Linked DNA regions of Saccharomyces cerevisiae S288C. The main gene of each other region encodes a partner of the protein of the gene in region 2 in a complex. Each region holds a gene or a part of one and is shown on either strand. Other genes may lie near its edges.

Region 1 (4,919 bases), on a different chromosome or scaffold from region 2:
AACTTCCTTTTACCTGTTGCAAGCTGTCTCATACCCGCGCTGAAAAGGCTGAGAACTGGGTATTGTCCCAATATTACGCTCGGCTTTTCTTTTCAAAAACTTTGTATTCCAGATACTTCCATGTGCAATTTCCCTAGTGCTCCCTGTACCAAGCCATCGGAGAGGAGATGCCTTCTAGAATTCAAAGCACGTAAGGGGTACAAAAATCGGAACGGGCCGAAGGCCGAAAAGAGACGGCCGTACGTGAGAGCACATGCAAAGTGGTGAACGGGACGTTACGGAGAATTACGGAACCTCTCAACAGAAGATGCGCCAATAGTCCTTCCGAACTAGCTCCACGGGAGGGGTATGAAGAGCAAGCTTGTTTACGCAGCCTCACCACCGCACCGAAAGACCCTCACGACAGAAATGGAGCGCCTTTAATGACGTTCGTCCGCTGCGGGCCAGAACAGCACAGTTTTGCTTCCCCGTTTCTTTTCCACTATTTCGTCACCCGCTCGAGGTGGCTCGCCCGCTCGGAGGCAAGCTGCACATTCATCGAACACGGAGAGGCACGGGCGAGAGAAAAAAAAGCCTATTGACCTAAACGGATGTCATAATGAAAAGAAGGAATCCGGTTTTCCTGGGCATGACTAAGGTAGCACGACTCAACTGGGCCAGATCGGTTGCTTCTTCCGATATACATGCATTAGATTAAGCCAAAGTAAAATCAAAAGAAAATTTAGCGGATATGAAAACCAATCTAATCTCCTCGTTTGCTTTCCGACCGCATGTAAGGTTCGGCTTTCTTGACTTCGGATATAGCTTAAAGTCGATTCTTGACGTCACTTCGCAATATCATTTCATTCCCATTAAACTGGCGTATGGACTTTGCGATCCTTTATTAATAGTTTATCCGGATCCCAGTTTTAGTTTGGCTCAAGCTGCAGGTGAAAAGAAAAAAGTCGTATTCCCTACGTATGAAGATGTTCCGAAACTACTGTTGACGTTTAAGCAGATTATGAATACGTATAGGAAGGGAAGTTTGGGACAGAGACAGAGACAGAGAGTGTACGGGCGAAATGGGAATGAATCACATTCTACGTAATTTGTCTTTGACTTTCTTAGAGATACGTATATAACTTTTTTTTCTGTGTGAAAAATAAATATTCTCTTATCCAATGTGGACAAGAGCCAAAAATACTCTGCTTTGTATATTTACTAGTTTTTTTGGCCTTTTTTTTCGCTAAACATATATATTAGTCTCGCTTAAATAATTGTGATGTTTGAAGGGAACGTGTCACGTGCTTCGTCGTTCATGCTTTGAATCCATCTAGGATACACTTACCAAAGGTAAAAATTGTTATACCGGTTACAATGCTCATGTGCAATGACATGTATGAGTGACATTTTACGCTTCTTTCGGATTCAGGTTTTAATGTTTTGGCGTTGTTCATCTTTGAGAATGGGCATGCAGCTTCCCCATCTTTGACTTCCGGGTGATGTTGGGGTAATTTTTCATCCTTTTGCTTTTCTAAATCATTTTGGTCACGTGTGCATTTTGGGGCTAGCTTGTGATTGAACAGTGATACTAAGTATAGGTAGGCTGCAGATAATGGGGCGACACCAAGTCCGCACAAAAGGTAGTTTGGTCTTTCTCCTGGTGCAGCTAGATAGTAGCTGAGTCCAAAGGCACCAGTAGCTAAACCACCTAAAACGGTGCTCCAGCATCCTAATGTGCACAAAACATTCTTCAAATGTTGAGTTAGAACATTTATTGGGGTGGTAATAGAAATCACGGTAGATGAAGTTAAAATACCGGCGTATAAACCTAATGATGAGACTGCGATACCTTTTACAATAGCTGGGGAGACTTGCATTTGTTTTTTAGTATATGTAAGGATTCTTATGAGTGTTTGTCTTAAACTTGCTTTTCGTGAGGTAAGGGTTAAAAAATCAGCTTGGATATAATTTGGAACAATAGAAACTTCTTTTCTCTCATTTATATACTGATCAACTCACAATTATATAACCTGGTTCTTTTTTTTTTTATTTTTCAACAACACAATAGATTCGAGTATGGGTAAACGAAGAGAATTACTTCGGCATTAAGCAAGGGAAATATCGCGCAACCGCGCACGTAATTATTTTTACTAAACGAACAGCAAATGCAGCAGAGCTAATGCGATGCATAAGATACTTGGATTCTAAGATCTGTTAACTTGAAAATGCTCTATATATCTGTCAAAGACACTATATTGTTGTATACTAGTATATATCTTTTAGTCAATTTCGATTACTTCCGGGCTTTTGGGAGCCTTGGACTTGGACGAATCATGGTCACTTTTCGTTTTTCTCTTATTGCTCTTCCTTAGTGAGATCCCTTGGCCTTGGAAATTTTGTTCACTGGATTTGCTACCAGCGGCACTTTCTTCGTCTTCTTTCGGTAGGACCATTGGGAAACCAAAGAATAATTGGCCTTCAGGCAGATCTAGCTTGGCGGGCTCGCCATCAAACGTTATCTTCATATCTTTTATATCTTGCTTGGGCTCCGCTTTCGGAGCTTTACCAGATATGTTTTGTCCCTGACCTACAAATTTAGATAGTTTGTTTCTGCTACTGTTAGCGATACCCGCATAGTCGATTCTTGTGGACATCGATCCCTGGCCAAGCACCGAGGGATCCAAAACTTGGCCCTTACCAAAAGAATTCTTTTTTTCTTTATCTTGCTGAGCTTTCAGCGCTTTGTAATCCGGTTCCACATATCCTACAGGTGGAGCAAAATCTGTTACTAAATCTGTTTCAATGACACATATACTCTTCGATGATGATTCTGGTTTGACTTCTAAGATCTTAATTTTGAAAGTTTTACCATTGTAACTAATCTCAATAACATCGTCCACGGTCAAAGTCGAGAAATTCCTCAGTACGTTTTCCAAAACTGCTTTGGGGTCGGAAATATCCAAGAAATCTACAGACTGAGGTTCTAACTTCACAAACTGGCCCAGAGGTACATCAGTAGATGAAATTTGCAGTAGAGATCCTGGCTGTATACCCAAAGTTTCCATCATCCATTGTGGTAAGTAAACTCTGCCCTCTTCAGCAATAAATTCTAAAACACCTCCATGTGTCACACGTCCAGTTTCATTGGCAGTTAGTTTAAAAAGCATGGGGTATCTTATGTTCAACATGGATAGTTTGCTTAGAGCACTTGGTGGCAGGAATATTTTCCCGCCGAAGTTTGCGTCATCCTTCCGTATTCTATCATTCATCATAGCTATAGGGTAGCATCTAAAGAACTCCTCAAACGTTTGAGGCATATTTACAAAACCATTTCCGCCGCCAAAAGAACTAAAGCCAGAAAACATTTTTATTATATTTTACAGTATCACTTTGATATTTTTTCCTCCCTTGCTATGGTATGTGTTACTATCTATTGAAAACTACATCATTATCTCTTCCCTATTCACATAGACCAGCCAGGATTACTTTTAACTACCTTTATTTTTCGCCACCTAACCCAAAAAAGGAATTCTTCTCTTTCGTAGAACGCAAGTTTGACTTTTTCGTCGTAAAGGCGAGTTTCCCAAAGTGGACACTTTTTTTTTTTAAGGCGCTTCGGCTAGAAATAGAAGAACGATAATAATGGCAGCGCACTGTGTATAATAACACCAGTCAACAATGAATCTGAAGCTAGAGAAAGAAACCCTCAAGTGTATCTGTGATGGCAGCAGGAAAATTGAAAAAGGAACAGCAAAATCAATCAGCTGAACGAGAAAGCGCTGATACGGGTAAAGTTAACGATGAGGATGAAGAGCATCTATACGGAAATATTGATGACTATAAGCATTTGATTCAAGATGAGGAATATGATGACGAGGATGTACCTCATGATCTACAATTAAGCGAAGATGAATATAATTCCGAACGAGACAGTTCTTTGTTGGCAGAATTCTCGGACTACGGTGAAATATCTGAAGACGATGAGGAAGATTTCATGAACGCGATTAGGGAAGCAAGTAACTTTAAGGTAAAAAAGAAGAAGAAAAATGACAAAGGTAAATCTTACGGCCGCCAAAGAAAAGAAAGAGTGCTTGATCCAGAGGTAGCGCAATTACTTTCTCAAGCCAATGAAGCTTTTGTCAGGAATGATTTACAAGTGGCCGAAAGATTATTTAATGAGGTAATTAAAAAAGATGCACGTAATTTTGCTGCTTACGAGACCCTAGGAGATATATATCAATTGCAAGGAAGGCTTAATGATTGTTGTAACTCTTGGTTCCTGGCAGCTCACCTAAATGCTTCCGATTGGGAATTCTGGAAGATAGTCGCTATACTGTCCGCCGATTTAGATCATGTTAGGCAGGCCATCTACTGCTTTTCCAGGGTAATAAGTTTGAATCCTATGGAATGGGAATCAATTTATCGCCGGTCTATGTTGTACAAGAAGACAGGACAGTTAGCAAGAGCTTTAGATGGATTTCAAAGGCTTTACATGTACAATCCTTATGATGCAAACATATTGAGGGAGTTGGCCATTCTTTATGTTGATTATGATCGGATTGAAGATTCAATTGAGCTCTATATGAAAGTGTTTAATGCTAATGTTGAGAGAAGGGAAGCGATATTAGCTGCTTTAGAAAATGCCTTAGATTCTTCAGACGAAGAAAGCGCCGCAGAAGGGGAGGATGCAGACGAAAAGGAACCCCTTGAACAAGATGAAGATAGGCAGATGTTTCCTGACATCAACTGGAAAAAAATTGATGCAAAATATAAATGCATACCATTTGACTGGTCTTCTTTGAACATTCTCGCGGAACTTTTCTTAAAACTCGCAGTTAGTGAGGTCGATGGTATAAAGACAATTAAAAAATGTGCACGGTGGATTCAACGCCGCGAAAGCCAGACATTTTGGGATCATGTTCCAGATGATTCAGAAT
Region 2 (6,410 bases):
GTAACACGAAAAATGCTGGTGCAGGTGGATTTTTTTGGCAGATACTACGGTCAATTCTCCGCTCGAAGATTTTTATAGGCCTGGCTAGTTACCTATTTAGTGCAAATTGGGAAGAGATCTATTGTTCCCGCAGACACGCTAAGTGGTAGCTGTAACTTCGGAGACGTGTGAGACCTTCCTCAAACATGTTACAGGTTGATCGATTTACACATCTAATGCAAGTTTAAGTGCTTCTTAAGTGTTTTTTTCTTTAGTCTTATAAGTTCTCCTTTCTTTCACTTTATAATTCTCCTTTATAAAAGTAAGACCCGGTGCTAAACAACCTGATCCGACAAGAGCAATTTCAATACGGCAGCAACTTTTTACTACAAAAGATGTCAAACTACGAAGCCTTGCTGAAATTCAATAGGAAGGCTGTATCTAAGGAAATGGTGCAATATCTAGCATCGACCACAGCTTCCATTATCAAAATTAAGAAGACGAATAGTATGATAGATATTGCATTGCCAGCACCACCGTTGACTAAATTCATCAACAGACTGATCAAGCATTCTAACGTTCAAACTCCGACTCTGATGGCTACCTCTGTATATTTGGCCAAATTAAGATCAATAATACCGAGTAACGTTTATGGTATAGAGACCACCAGGCATAGAATATTCTTAGGTTGCCTAATATTAGCTGCAAAAACGTTAAATGATTCCTCCCCTCTTAACAAACACTGGGCCGAATATACGGACGGCCTTCTCATCCTAAGGGAGGTTAATACTATTGAAAGGGAACTATTAGAATATTTTGATTGGGACGTCACCATTTCCACAGATGATTTAATTACATGTCTCTCGCCATTCTTGAAGCCTATCAAAGAGGAGCAGTTGTACAAATCGCAAAGAGACTGTCGCACGTTGAAAAATTTTTCTGCTCAAGAAAAAGACATAGTAAACAAAACATCCATTTCCCATTCGCGCTCATCGTCCAATATGTCTATCCCATCTTTAGCTTCCACTTCGACCCTCTCCACGTTGGAATCTAGAAGATCGAATTTATCCAATTATAGTAACAGAATACGAACTTTGCCCGAACTACACGAATCCAATAACATTAGCGACAAGTTTTCTCCGCGAACATACAACATAGACTCCAAACACGATAACAAGGAAAATAGGCCAATACCGACAATTAAGCCTTTTAATTTTAGTAAAGCGCGCCCTGTGATCTTGAAAACTGGGTTAAACAAACAGATAATAAAAGAAGATACAAAAGTAAAGAAATCGAATTGGTCAAATTACTTCAAATCGTGATTTTAAATGTCGAAATTATGCCTGGCCTGCGTTTCTTCATGGCACTTTCGGAAAAGGCGGAAGAACACAGGTAAATGTTCTTACGACCGAGGTCCTACAGCCTCCCTTTTTTCTTATTTTACATATTAATATACATAAATATACCATAATGCATTCTTTTTCTAATGATTTAGCTCTCCTTTTTTTGACAAATTTGAAAATAAATATAAAAAGGGCCATAAAATATTGAGTTAAAATTGACGATTTTTTTTATAGAAATGACTTGAATTTACGATTTAAAATAAAAATATACCTGGCATATAACTAACTATACAAATCATCATCTTCCTCCGCATTAGAACCAAATGCAGCACCTGCTCCACTTGGAGCACTATTATTACTGTTAGCATTGTCCGTAGCCGTAGTACCTAATGGAGCGTCATTAAAGTTGAAATTACTGAATTGACCTCTAGATGCTTTCATTTGCTGTGAGTATGCTTCATAACGACGCAATTCAGCATCTGAAACAGAACGTTTAGCGGTCTTCATAGCTTCTGCGAAATGCTCCTTTGTAATATATGGAACAGGATCTACTTCTGGTTCTTGTTCAGCCTTTGCTCCCTCATCTGTCATTTCCACGTCTTCACCTTCTACTTTCACTTCCTTTTCAGCTTCGTGTTGTCTGTGAGCTTCGATAGAATCCTTGATAGCGTATTTAGCAGCCCTCTGCACAATATAGAGTAAATCAGCACCAGAGAAACCTTGAGTGGCCTTGGCAATCGCAGTTAACTCTAGCCCTGGTTCTAGTGGTGTTTTCCTTAATTGAGCATTTAGAATAGATAATCTAGCGTTTTCATCTGGCAATGGAACATAAATTAATTGATCCAATCTGCCAGGTCTTAAAATAGCAGGATCAATTTGATCTGGCCTATTGGTGGCACCAATCACGAACACATTTTTCTTAGCATTCATACCATCCATTTCTGTTAATAGTTGGTTGACGACTCTATCCGAAGCACCACCAGCATCACCCAAGGAACCACCTCTTGCCTTGGCAATGGAGTCTAATTCATCTAGAAAAACGACGGTTGGTGCAGCTGCTCTTGCCTTATCAAAAATATCACGGATGTTAGATTCCGATTCACCATACCACATACTCAATAATTCTGGACCTTTGACTGAGATAAAGTTGGCAGAAACCTCAGTAGCTACAGCTTTTGCTAACAAAGTTTTACCTGTACCTGGTGGACCGTAGAACAACACACCCTTTGATGGTGATAACCCAAACTTTGTGTATTGGTCTGGATGTAAGACTGGGTATTCTACAGTTTCCTTCAATTCCTCCTTGATTTCATCTAGGCCACCAACGTCATCCCAAGTAACATTGACACTTTCAACAACGGTTTCACGCAATGCAGATGGGTTTGAATTGCCCAATGCGAATCTGAAGTTGTCCATGGTGACTCCTAAAGAATCGAGCACCTCTGCATCAATTTCATCTTCATCTAAATCTATCAAGTCCATTTTTTCACGGATCTGTTGCATGGCAGCTTCAGAACACAAAGAGGCAATATCAGCACCCACGTAACCGTGTGTTTCAGCAGCCAATGCTTCCAAATCAACATCATCAGCCAACTTCATGTTCTTGGTGTGAATACGTAGAACTTCAAGTCTACCTGTAGCATCTGGGATACCAATGTCGACTTCACGATCGAATCTACCAAATCTTCTTAAAGCGGGATCAATCGAATTTGGTCTATTGGTAGCAGCAATGACAACAACATTAGATCTTGCCTTCATACCATCCATTAAAGTTAACAATTGAGAGACAACTCTTCTCTCAACTTCACCATTAGTCTTGTCTCTCTTTGGAGCTATAGAATCGATTTCATCGATAAAAATGATGGCTGGAGCGTTCTTTTCGGCTTCTTCAAAGGCCTTTCTTAAGTTAGACTCTGATTCACCAGCCATTTTTGACATGACTTCTGGACCATTAATTAAGAAAAAAAAGGCACCGGTCTCATTAGCAACAGCTCTTGCCATCAAGGTTTTACCAGTACCAGGGGGACCATACATCAAAACACCTCTTGGTGGCTTGATACCGATAGCCTTGAACAACTGAGGATGTCTCAATGGTAGTTCAACCATTTCCCTAATTTGAGCCATTTGCTTACGACAACCACCAATATCATCGTAACCCACCTCATTCATATTATTTTCTTCATCTTCCCTGTTGATTGGCTCACCTTCCCAGTGAATAATAGTATCCTGAGCAACGACGGCATATTCTTCAGGTTCGACATCCACAACCTTGAATTCGACTTGTCTCATACCGCCTCTGACAACAAAATGGTCGCCTTTCCTCACTGGTCTGTAGGCTTCCACAAAATAAGGCTTCAAAAAAACATCGAAAAGATTACCAGTTATACCTTCGATCGTATCAGCAATTGGTAACACAGAAATTCTAGTAGCGTATTTGATATCGGGGCAAGGATGAATTGTAACTAAATCACCCAGCCTAATACGTAAATTGTTACGAACTACACGGTTTATCCTGCATGCTCCGTCTTCTAATTCGTCATCGATCAACACAATTAAGACAGTATCTTTTCTCTTCTTGCCCTTAACGAGAACGGTGTCACCACGGAACAATTCCAATTTGTCCATGGTGTTAGAATTAATAGCAATGACAGAATTGTCATCATTGATAGCATCGTCCACCAAAAGCATGTTGTCCTTCTTCTTTCTTCTTAAAATGGCGGTGGCGGTTTTATCCTCCTCACGAGGGTCGACACCCGAGGCGTCCAAAAGTGGTTTATGTTCTTCACCCATGATTTGTATATCTGTCTTGTAGTTGAGCCAGTTATCGAGTCAATGGCGTTGAGTCAAATCTTAATAGAACTAGATTAATTGACTACATCAACTGCGGATCTCTTAAATACACGGCCCTGATATATGTCCTTTTTTGCCACCGAATTCACATTCGAGGGGTTGCCGGGTAGTGCGCAAAAGGCGGTAGGTTAAAAAGGAAGGAGTTAGAGCTGTTCATAAGGTATCGATAGCAACGATGGCTAGTAACATGATTGTTAGCATTATAGAGTGGATATGAATGGAAGCAAACACACCCATATGTATAAACTTAAATATGAAAAGAAAACGCTAAAAGAAATCATAGCATGCATTACTCTAATCGGAGCCTTCTAGTTTGGCAAGCAATTCCTTGTGTAGCTTGCCCAACTTATCGAAGTCCGTTTCTTGGGCTGGCCACCCTACAATCAAACCACTTTTCTCATCTCTCTTAGGAATCAAATGGAAGTGGACGTGGTCGACTTCTTGATGCGCAATTTTACCATTATTCTGCAACACATTATAAGTGTCCAACTTCATTGCCTTGGCCAGTCTCTTGGCAATCGGCATAGCATCGGTAAGGAATTCGTCCGGGATGTCATGCAACTTCGCACCATGGTACTTAGGAATGATTAAAGCATGACCTTCAGCAGTAGGTTGGATGTCCAAGAAAGCATACGAGTACTTTGTTTCAATCAATTTGAAGGATGGAATTTCGCCTGTTGCATAGCGGATCGATTGTTAGTATTCTGCTTTATGTATATGTACTACATAGAGACTATCGCCATCATTGGTGTGAGTGTAAGCTCTTTATTAGTAATGTGACATACTTTTAATAATCTTGCAAAAAATACAGGCAGCATCAAGCGTAGCAGGAGCAGACATTTTTGTTGTTGTTAGGTACGGTGCCGATATCAATGGCTCCATCAATGTTTCTTAAAAGTCTGGAAGGCGTGCTGATTGTCCTTTTACTTCATAATGTTCTCCGCTTTCCAGTCGAACACACATCACATTACACGATCGTACAGCAATGCTTCAGTAGGGCGGTAACTTCTTCAGAAGAGAACGGACCCGCCATTATTTCTGCAAGGAATATTCTGTAACGATTCGCACCATATCTTAAAGCTTCTCAAGCTTACTGTTTTATGTGACCTCCTTTTGTACTTTTCAAGTTCTGTAGACAAGTGTCAATTCAACCTTTGAGGCTACGTGGCCAACAAGGTCTTGCGCGATTTACCGGTGTTTCCTTTGCGCCCCCTGCTCATGCCATCAAAACGGCACGCTGTTTTGTAGAAGCCTCCATGCGTCTCCTATTTGGGTCCTTGCAAAATAGTCTAACGAAAGCGCGGAGAATTAACCGGAAAAAGGAAGTTGCCACACTCCCCTTACTAATCCACACCTAGGATCTCCTTTACTCGTATTTTGAATATCTACGAAAACACTCACATACGCTCATCCCATATATATATATATATATATACGGATATATTGATAGTCGGATACTACGTGGATATGGATACACATGTAAACGGTTGTGTTACCCTAAAGAAACGGAGGTCAGTTAACAACACTTTTACAGATGTCATTTCACCAACAGTTCTTTACCTTGAATAATGGAAATAAAATCCCCGCAATCGCCATCATTGGGACAGGTACTAGATGGTATAAAAACGAAGAAACGGATGCTACCTTTTCGAACAGTTTGGTCGAACAGATTGTTTATGCTCTGAAGTTACCTGGCATTATTCACATTGATGCTGCTGAGATCTACAGAACATATCCAGAAGTTGGGAAGGCACTTAGCCTCACCGAAAAACCAAGAAATGCAATATTCTTGACAGACAAGTACTCACCTCAAATCAAGATGTCAGATTCCCCAGCGGATGGACTAGATTTAGCTTTGAAGAAGATGGGCACTGACTATGTCGATCTATACCTTTTGCATAGCCCATTTGTTTCCAAAGAGGTCAACGGGTTAAGTTTGGAGGAAGCCTGGAAGGACATGGAGCAATTGTACAAATCAGGTAAAGCTAAAAATATCGGTGTTTCCAACTTTGCTGTGGAAGACTTGCAAAGAATTCTGAAAGTTGCGGAAGTCAAGCCCCAAGTTAATCAAATTGAGTTCAGTCCCTTCTTGCAGAATCAAACACCAGGGATCTACAAATTTTGCCAAGAACATGATATATTGGTAGAAGCATACTCGCCACTAGGTCCCTTACAAAAGAAAACAGCACAAGATGACTCTCAACCGTTTTTCGAATACGTGAAAGAGTTATCCGAGAA
Region 3 (5,800 bases), 900 kb from region 2:
TCAAGGAAATTTTAAATCGTTGATCCTGGTTCACAGGAGGGAGCTGGCCTTACAAGCGACGGCCACTCTTAAAAAAATATTCCCCGACTTAAAGGTTCACATAGAAATGGGAAAATATGATTGCGATATTGAAGATTCTGACGTGATTGTTGCATCTGTTCAGACGTTGATTAGAAGACTCCATAAATATGATACTAATTCAGTGAATCTCATCATCATTGATGAAGCACATCATTCTGTGGCTAATTCTTATAGAAGTATCTTAGATCATTTCAAAGCTTCAACTGCAGAAACCAAAATCCCTGTTATTGGCTTTAGTGCGACTTTCGAAAGAGCAGATAAAAGAGCTTTGTCAATGGTAATGGATAAAATTGTGTACCACCGGGGAATACTGGAAATGATCGATGACAAGTGGCTATGTGAGGCAAAATTCACGTCAGTCAAAATTGAAGCAGACTTATCAGATGTAAAAAGCACTGCAGATGACTTCCAGCTGGCACCGTTATCGTCTCTAATGAATACGAAAGAAATTAATGAAGTAATTCTGAAAACTTACCTTCATAAAAAGCAAGAGAAATCACTAAAATCAACATTACTGTTTGGCGTTGATAAAGCCCATGTACAAAGTTTGCATAAATTATTTAAAGACAACGGTATTAATACGGACTATGTCACCTCGGATACAAAACAGATAGAACGAGATAATATAATTCAAAAATTCAAAAATGGGGAAACTGAAGTACTCATGAACTGTGGAATATTCACAGAAGGAACGGACATGCCAAATATTGATTGTATACTACTGTGTAGGCCCACAAAATCGCGTTCACTTTTGATTCAAATGATTGGAAGAGGTTTACGGTTACACCATTCGAAAGACCACTGTCATATCATCGACTTCATTGGAGCTTCTAGTGTTGGAGTGGTTTCAGCGCCCACTCTACTGGGTATAAGGAGTGATGATATCGAATTTGATGATGCTACAGTTGAAGATTTAAAAGCAATCCAAGGAGAGATAATAGCTAAACAACAAAAAATCGACGAAAGGTTAAGGGCTTTATTTCAGACTGATGAAGCAGCAATGGAAAATGTAACTGAAAGAAATAGCGTTGCCGATTGGATTCACAGTGCAAATTCGGTTGATTTAACCTTGTGCTCCTTTGATAGTTTTAGGAATTTTACACAGAGCAATAACTCATATCCATCTGGCAAGGAGTTTGATGAAGCTTCTGAAGCTGTAAAAGAAATGGAGCTGTTGATGAACTCACAATATCCGTGGGTGAAATTTGCCTCAAATGCGTGGGGCCTCCCTTTAAAAGGTAAGAATCATTTGAGAATATACAAAGAAAAATCCGAAGACAAATTGTCGATGGTATATCATCTAAAAATGTATCGACAATTACCGTGTTTTATAACAAATAAATACGCGGACTATGTTCCAAAAAGTATAATAAAAGACGCTAATCTTTGGAATGTAATGTCAAAGGTGGAAAAAATCATAAATACTCTAAATTCGGACTTGGAAGGACAAACAATGCAATACCAGGCAATATCTAGTAAATACTCGAAATGGAGACAAACAGTTCCTACGTCAAAACAAAGAGACTTTGTTTTCAGAAAGCTAAAGAAAGTATATGGTGAGTCCTCAAAAGATTTTATTAGATTATCTTTGGATGATGTTACTACTTATGTAAATACTAAGATGACGAAAGGAGATGCTTCCAACTTAATCTTTGCCAGCAGTTTGGCACCTGTCTACCCGTTGAAATCATTGTTACGAATATTAGAATATCAAAAAAGAAGATCTTTTATAAAGTGAAATCCGTAGCTACATAAATGTGCATATATTAATATACAGTCACTAGTACATATGTAAACGTCGGACCACTCGTATATGCATTTTCTTTTGGATCACACCCTTTCTGAACTATGCAATGAATAACGTTAAATTCAAATAAGTGCTTTAGCCTTACTCTGCGTACTAGAAAATGAGCTGCAACATTTCTTATTAACCCTCATTTTCATTTGACTCTTCATTTTCATGAATGTACTGTTGCAAAGATATTTGTCTAATTTGATTCAACAGGTCCTCATCTTGCATTCTTTCTGCCTGAAGGACAGCTAAATCCTTTTCATTAATAAAGGTTTTGATGTTTTCAACCACTTCGATTGATTCTTTTGACGTAGGCATTGGTGGTAATACGTCAAACTCATATACTTCATTATCAGACCAGATAAATGATGGAATTGCAGCCATTACAGAAGACTCCTCAGATAGTATGGCGAATCTTAATAAGTTAATTGGGATTCCCGCAATAAAGAAAGGTGATTGCAAGTTGTTAATGTTATTGTGATCTTGCCCATCATTTGAATCGATTGTAACGTTTCCTCTATGGTAATCCTGTAAAATACTCGACATTTCATCATGCAAAAATGTTACCTCTTCGTTTCTATTCCAAAGTAACGGGAAGCGGGCCATATATGCCTTTAATTCCAAGTTTTCTGCCGAATGGCCATCAATGGATAAATCTTTAGTTAGCGCATGATCGCCCAAGAGTTTCTCCTTGAAAAGTTCTGACAGTTGTAAAGGATGATGCTTAAAGGCTTTTAGAAGCGCATTGCGGGCGGAACTCATCTCATTTATTCTTAGGAAGCTTAGTACTACCGCCAAGGAAAATCCTAAAGTATTCCACTGTTTATAACAGTTCATTAATGGAGAGTTGGATAATTCTATAATGTACTGATAGTCATTATTCAATAGAAAATAGTGATCGAGGAAATACCTGCATCCTAAAGGATCTTCCAATGGGCTCAGTGACCAGAGAACTTTTGTCCATTCACTAGCAGTTCCTATAACACCTCTTTGAGCAAGAGATTGGATGTATCTAAATATTGCCAAGTAAAACTGTCTGTTGAAGAAGTATATATAAGGTAGTTGACAATTCAAGGAATCGAAAATAATATTTGCTTTCAAAGCTCTATCAAAGACAAAGAGTGCTCTTTGTAACAATCCATTAGTGTTTGATCTATCACCTTGCCTAATAAATATCAAAGCAACTTGTAGCAGTCCAGGCACATGATACGGAAATTTAGAAGAAATCAAATTTATAAGGGCTTCATGATCAGGGTGAACAATAACACTTAAGTAGAAGTCCATCATTGATTTCTTGCTCAGGTCGGAATTTAAAGGTTCGAACTTATAAAAAGAAATGAATTTTTGCCACTGACTGACATCGTTTTGGATAACATCCTTCCAATCTAACGGCCTTTCCCATAATTGCCAATCTAAAAGATCATCAGAACTTAAAAGTTTCATAGAGAGCTCACCTCTTTGAGTTGGGATCCAATCATCTCTGATCTTGGTAAACTTCAAATGTTGCGGGTGCATTCCGGGGCCATTAGGTGCCAATCTATGATCTTTTCCGCCCCAGTTTCTAATTAATCTTTTCAGTCTCTGAATCTGTTTCAGCTGCTGAGGGGAGACAGGTGTGGATGTCATCGAATCAATATCTTCAAGAGACTCTGGAGATATATCGTCAAATAAAAGTTTGAATTCCGTATGGGGGTCCAATTTCTTGAAATCATTTTGAAAAAATTTGCAAGAATGCCTCAAACATGAAATGGGGAACTTTGTGAAGCCCGGATCACTTTCTAAGCTTAAAAATGACTTCCAAGGTTGGCTAGATGCTTCCTCTGGTTCAGATGCCGTGAAGAAACCTTCCTCATTAGTGTCATCATTTTTAGTCTTACCGTACTTCAATATATCAGTTTTTTTGAACTGTTGGATAATCTTGTCGAATTCTTCATCATCATCATCATCATCGGAACCCTTGTCTTTTGCAGCCTCGGCGGTATGGTTTTTTTGCTTCCTTTTTGCCTTTTTATTCTTTTTCCTTCTAGAAGACTTGGATGCTAGTGTAATTCTTTTAGGTTGACCATTACTTTGAGTATCACGCTCCCCAGCAGCAGCAGCTTCTTCATCCTGCTCAGACATTTGTCCTTCATCAGTGCTATTATCTGAATCACGTACGTTATTCATCATAGAGAAGATGTTCTCCCGTTTCTGAATATTACCGGCAGTACTTTTACCACTCGTCATTTTATTCGCATTTGAATTCGATAGCAGCGACTCTAGCAGAGCATTATCATCTTGTAATCTCCTTAATGCTCTAGAGCTCATGTTCGAGTACTTTACAAATATATTTAGATGATTCAACGACCTGTATGTTAACCTTCAACTGGTGGACTGTATGTACTACCTATGGACATTTTTCACTATACGTTGATGCAGTAGTGAACATATTGCTCGCATAATGTTACCCGTTTATACCTCTATACGATTATTAAGGGAGGGTAATACTTTCTCAATTTTTTTTTTTTCAGTTTTTAATATTATTTCCTTAAGATTTTTCGGTGGCGTTTCGCGACAACTTACGAGAAAAAAAAAAAAGAGGAGACTTGAAGAAAGAGTGCAAAGGGATAGCGGGATTCTAAAGTGTTTACGTGCAAAAAGGATAGATTTTGAGCTTTAAACTAGATAAGACCCAAAGCATTCGATTACTGCATTTGAGAGGTATTCAACAATACCATTTTAACTCTTAGAAAATATTTCCTTAAGCTGAAAATTTATGAATTCTAACTGCTCTTTGCATTTTCCAAGTTATTGCATTACAAGAATATATGACCACATCTCGTAAATCGCATGCGAAAGACAAAAAGGCTGGTGGTGAACAGGATCTGGCGGATTTGAAGTTTAGGTATGATCTTCTGACGAATGAACTGTTCCATTTAAGAGAGTTTGTTTCATTGGTAGATTATGATCCAACCCATTTTAATGATTCTGAAAGTTTTCAGAAGTTTCTCAGGGAAACACACTTGTCGTTAGAGGAGAGAGGAGAAAAATTCACTGATGACGTAGCCAAGAAAGGCACGAATGGTGATCTTACTCGCAGAAGGCGAAACCTCAGGACATCGACAGTTGTTAGTTCAGAAACGACTAATGAGAAAAAGGGTGATATAGAACTGAAGTTAGAAAGCATAGCACCATTAGTACGAAATAAATGTGAGGAGCTAAAATACAAACTAAGTGATCATTCAAATAGGAAATCTATAGTACCGCAAAAAAGACCAATACAACATTTGAAGAAGAGAGAAGCAGCGAAGTCCTTGAAGTTCAAAAGTGAAAGAAAGGAAAATCCACTGCCATTGCATGAACATATAGCTGAAGAGAGATATGATCACATCGCAAAAGTTGAAGAACCCTCTGAAGCCTTCACTATAAAGTGTCCTTCTGATGATAGCTCCTTTGAAAATACTAGTGAACATTATAGTGATAATTTTTATTTCACCACATCATCCGAAGAGGAAGATATAAAGAAAAAAAGAGGTAGAAAGAAAAAGAAGCCTAGAATAAAACTGGTAGTCCATCCTCCAAAGCAAACCATAACGAACCCGTTGCATGTAGTCAAGCCGGGATACGAAAGCTTGCACGAATACATCGCTTCCTTTAAGTCATTAGAAGACGATTTAACGCTGGAAGAATATAATAAATACATCGACGAACAAAGACGGCTTTTATCGAGACTCAAAAAAGGTATTGAAAATGGCGCATTGAAGTATGACAAAGAAACGGACTCACTACAACCTATAACATCCAAGGAAATCAAGACTATCATAACATATAAACCAGACCCGATTTCATATTTCTATAAACAACAAGATCTGCAAATCCATACCGATCACTTAATTAACCAAGGTATTCATATGAGTAAGCTGTTTAGAAGTTCAACAAAGGCAAGAA

Evidence for each region.
Region 1: CDC48 (region 2) and UFD1 share a complex: the UniProt entries of both Saccharomyces cerevisiae proteins name them as parts of the heterotrimeric CDC48-NPL4-UFD1 ATPase complex.
Region 3: CDC48 (region 2) and RQC1 share a complex: the UniProt entries of both Saccharomyces cerevisiae proteins name them as parts of the ribosome quality control complex.

What each region holds. Positions count from the first base shown.
Region 1 is NC_001139.9:588,254-593,172, reverse strand, and holds UFD1 (polyubiquitin-binding protein UFD1), read right to left. Parts: upstream 3,348-4,919; coding exon 2,262-3,347; downstream 1-2,261. Other genes in the region: YGR050C (uncharacterized protein), read left to right, coding at 731-1,087; SCM4 (Scm4p), read right to left, coding at 1,296-1,859; transcription factor TFIIIC subunit TFC4, read left to right, coding at 3,704-4,919. UniProt on the Saccharomyces cerevisiae protein: Functions at a post-ubiquitation step in the ubiquitin fusion degradation (UFD) pathway. Has a role in the endoplasmic reticulum-associated degradation (ERAD) pathway.
Region 2 is NC_001136.10:234,553-240,962, forward strand, and holds CDC48 (AAA family ATPase CDC48), read right to left. Parts: upstream 4,113-6,410; coding exon 1,605-4,112; downstream 1-1,604. Other genes in the region: cyclin PCL2, read left to right, coding at 375-1,301; HNT1 (adenosine 5'-monophosphoramidase), read right to left, coding at 4,467-4,846, 4,958-5,054; YDL124W (aldo-keto reductase superfamily protein), read left to right, coding at 5,707-6,410. UniProt on the Saccharomyces cerevisiae protein: ATP-dependent chaperone which probably uses the energy provided by ATP hydrolysis to generate mechanical force to unfold substrate proteins, disassemble protein complexes, and disaggregate protein aggregates.
Region 3 is NC_001136.10:1,131,252-1,137,051, forward strand, and holds RQC1 (Rqc1p), read right to left. Parts: upstream 4,181-5,800; coding exon 2,009-4,180; downstream 1-2,008. Other genes in the region: IRC3 (double-stranded DNA-dependent ATPase), read left to right, coding at 1-1,819; chromatin-remodeling protein SWR1, read left to right, coding at 4,681-5,800. UniProt on the Saccharomyces cerevisiae protein: Component of the ribosome quality control complex (RQC), a ribosome-associated complex that mediates ubiquitination and extraction of incompletely synthesized nascent chains for proteasomal degradation.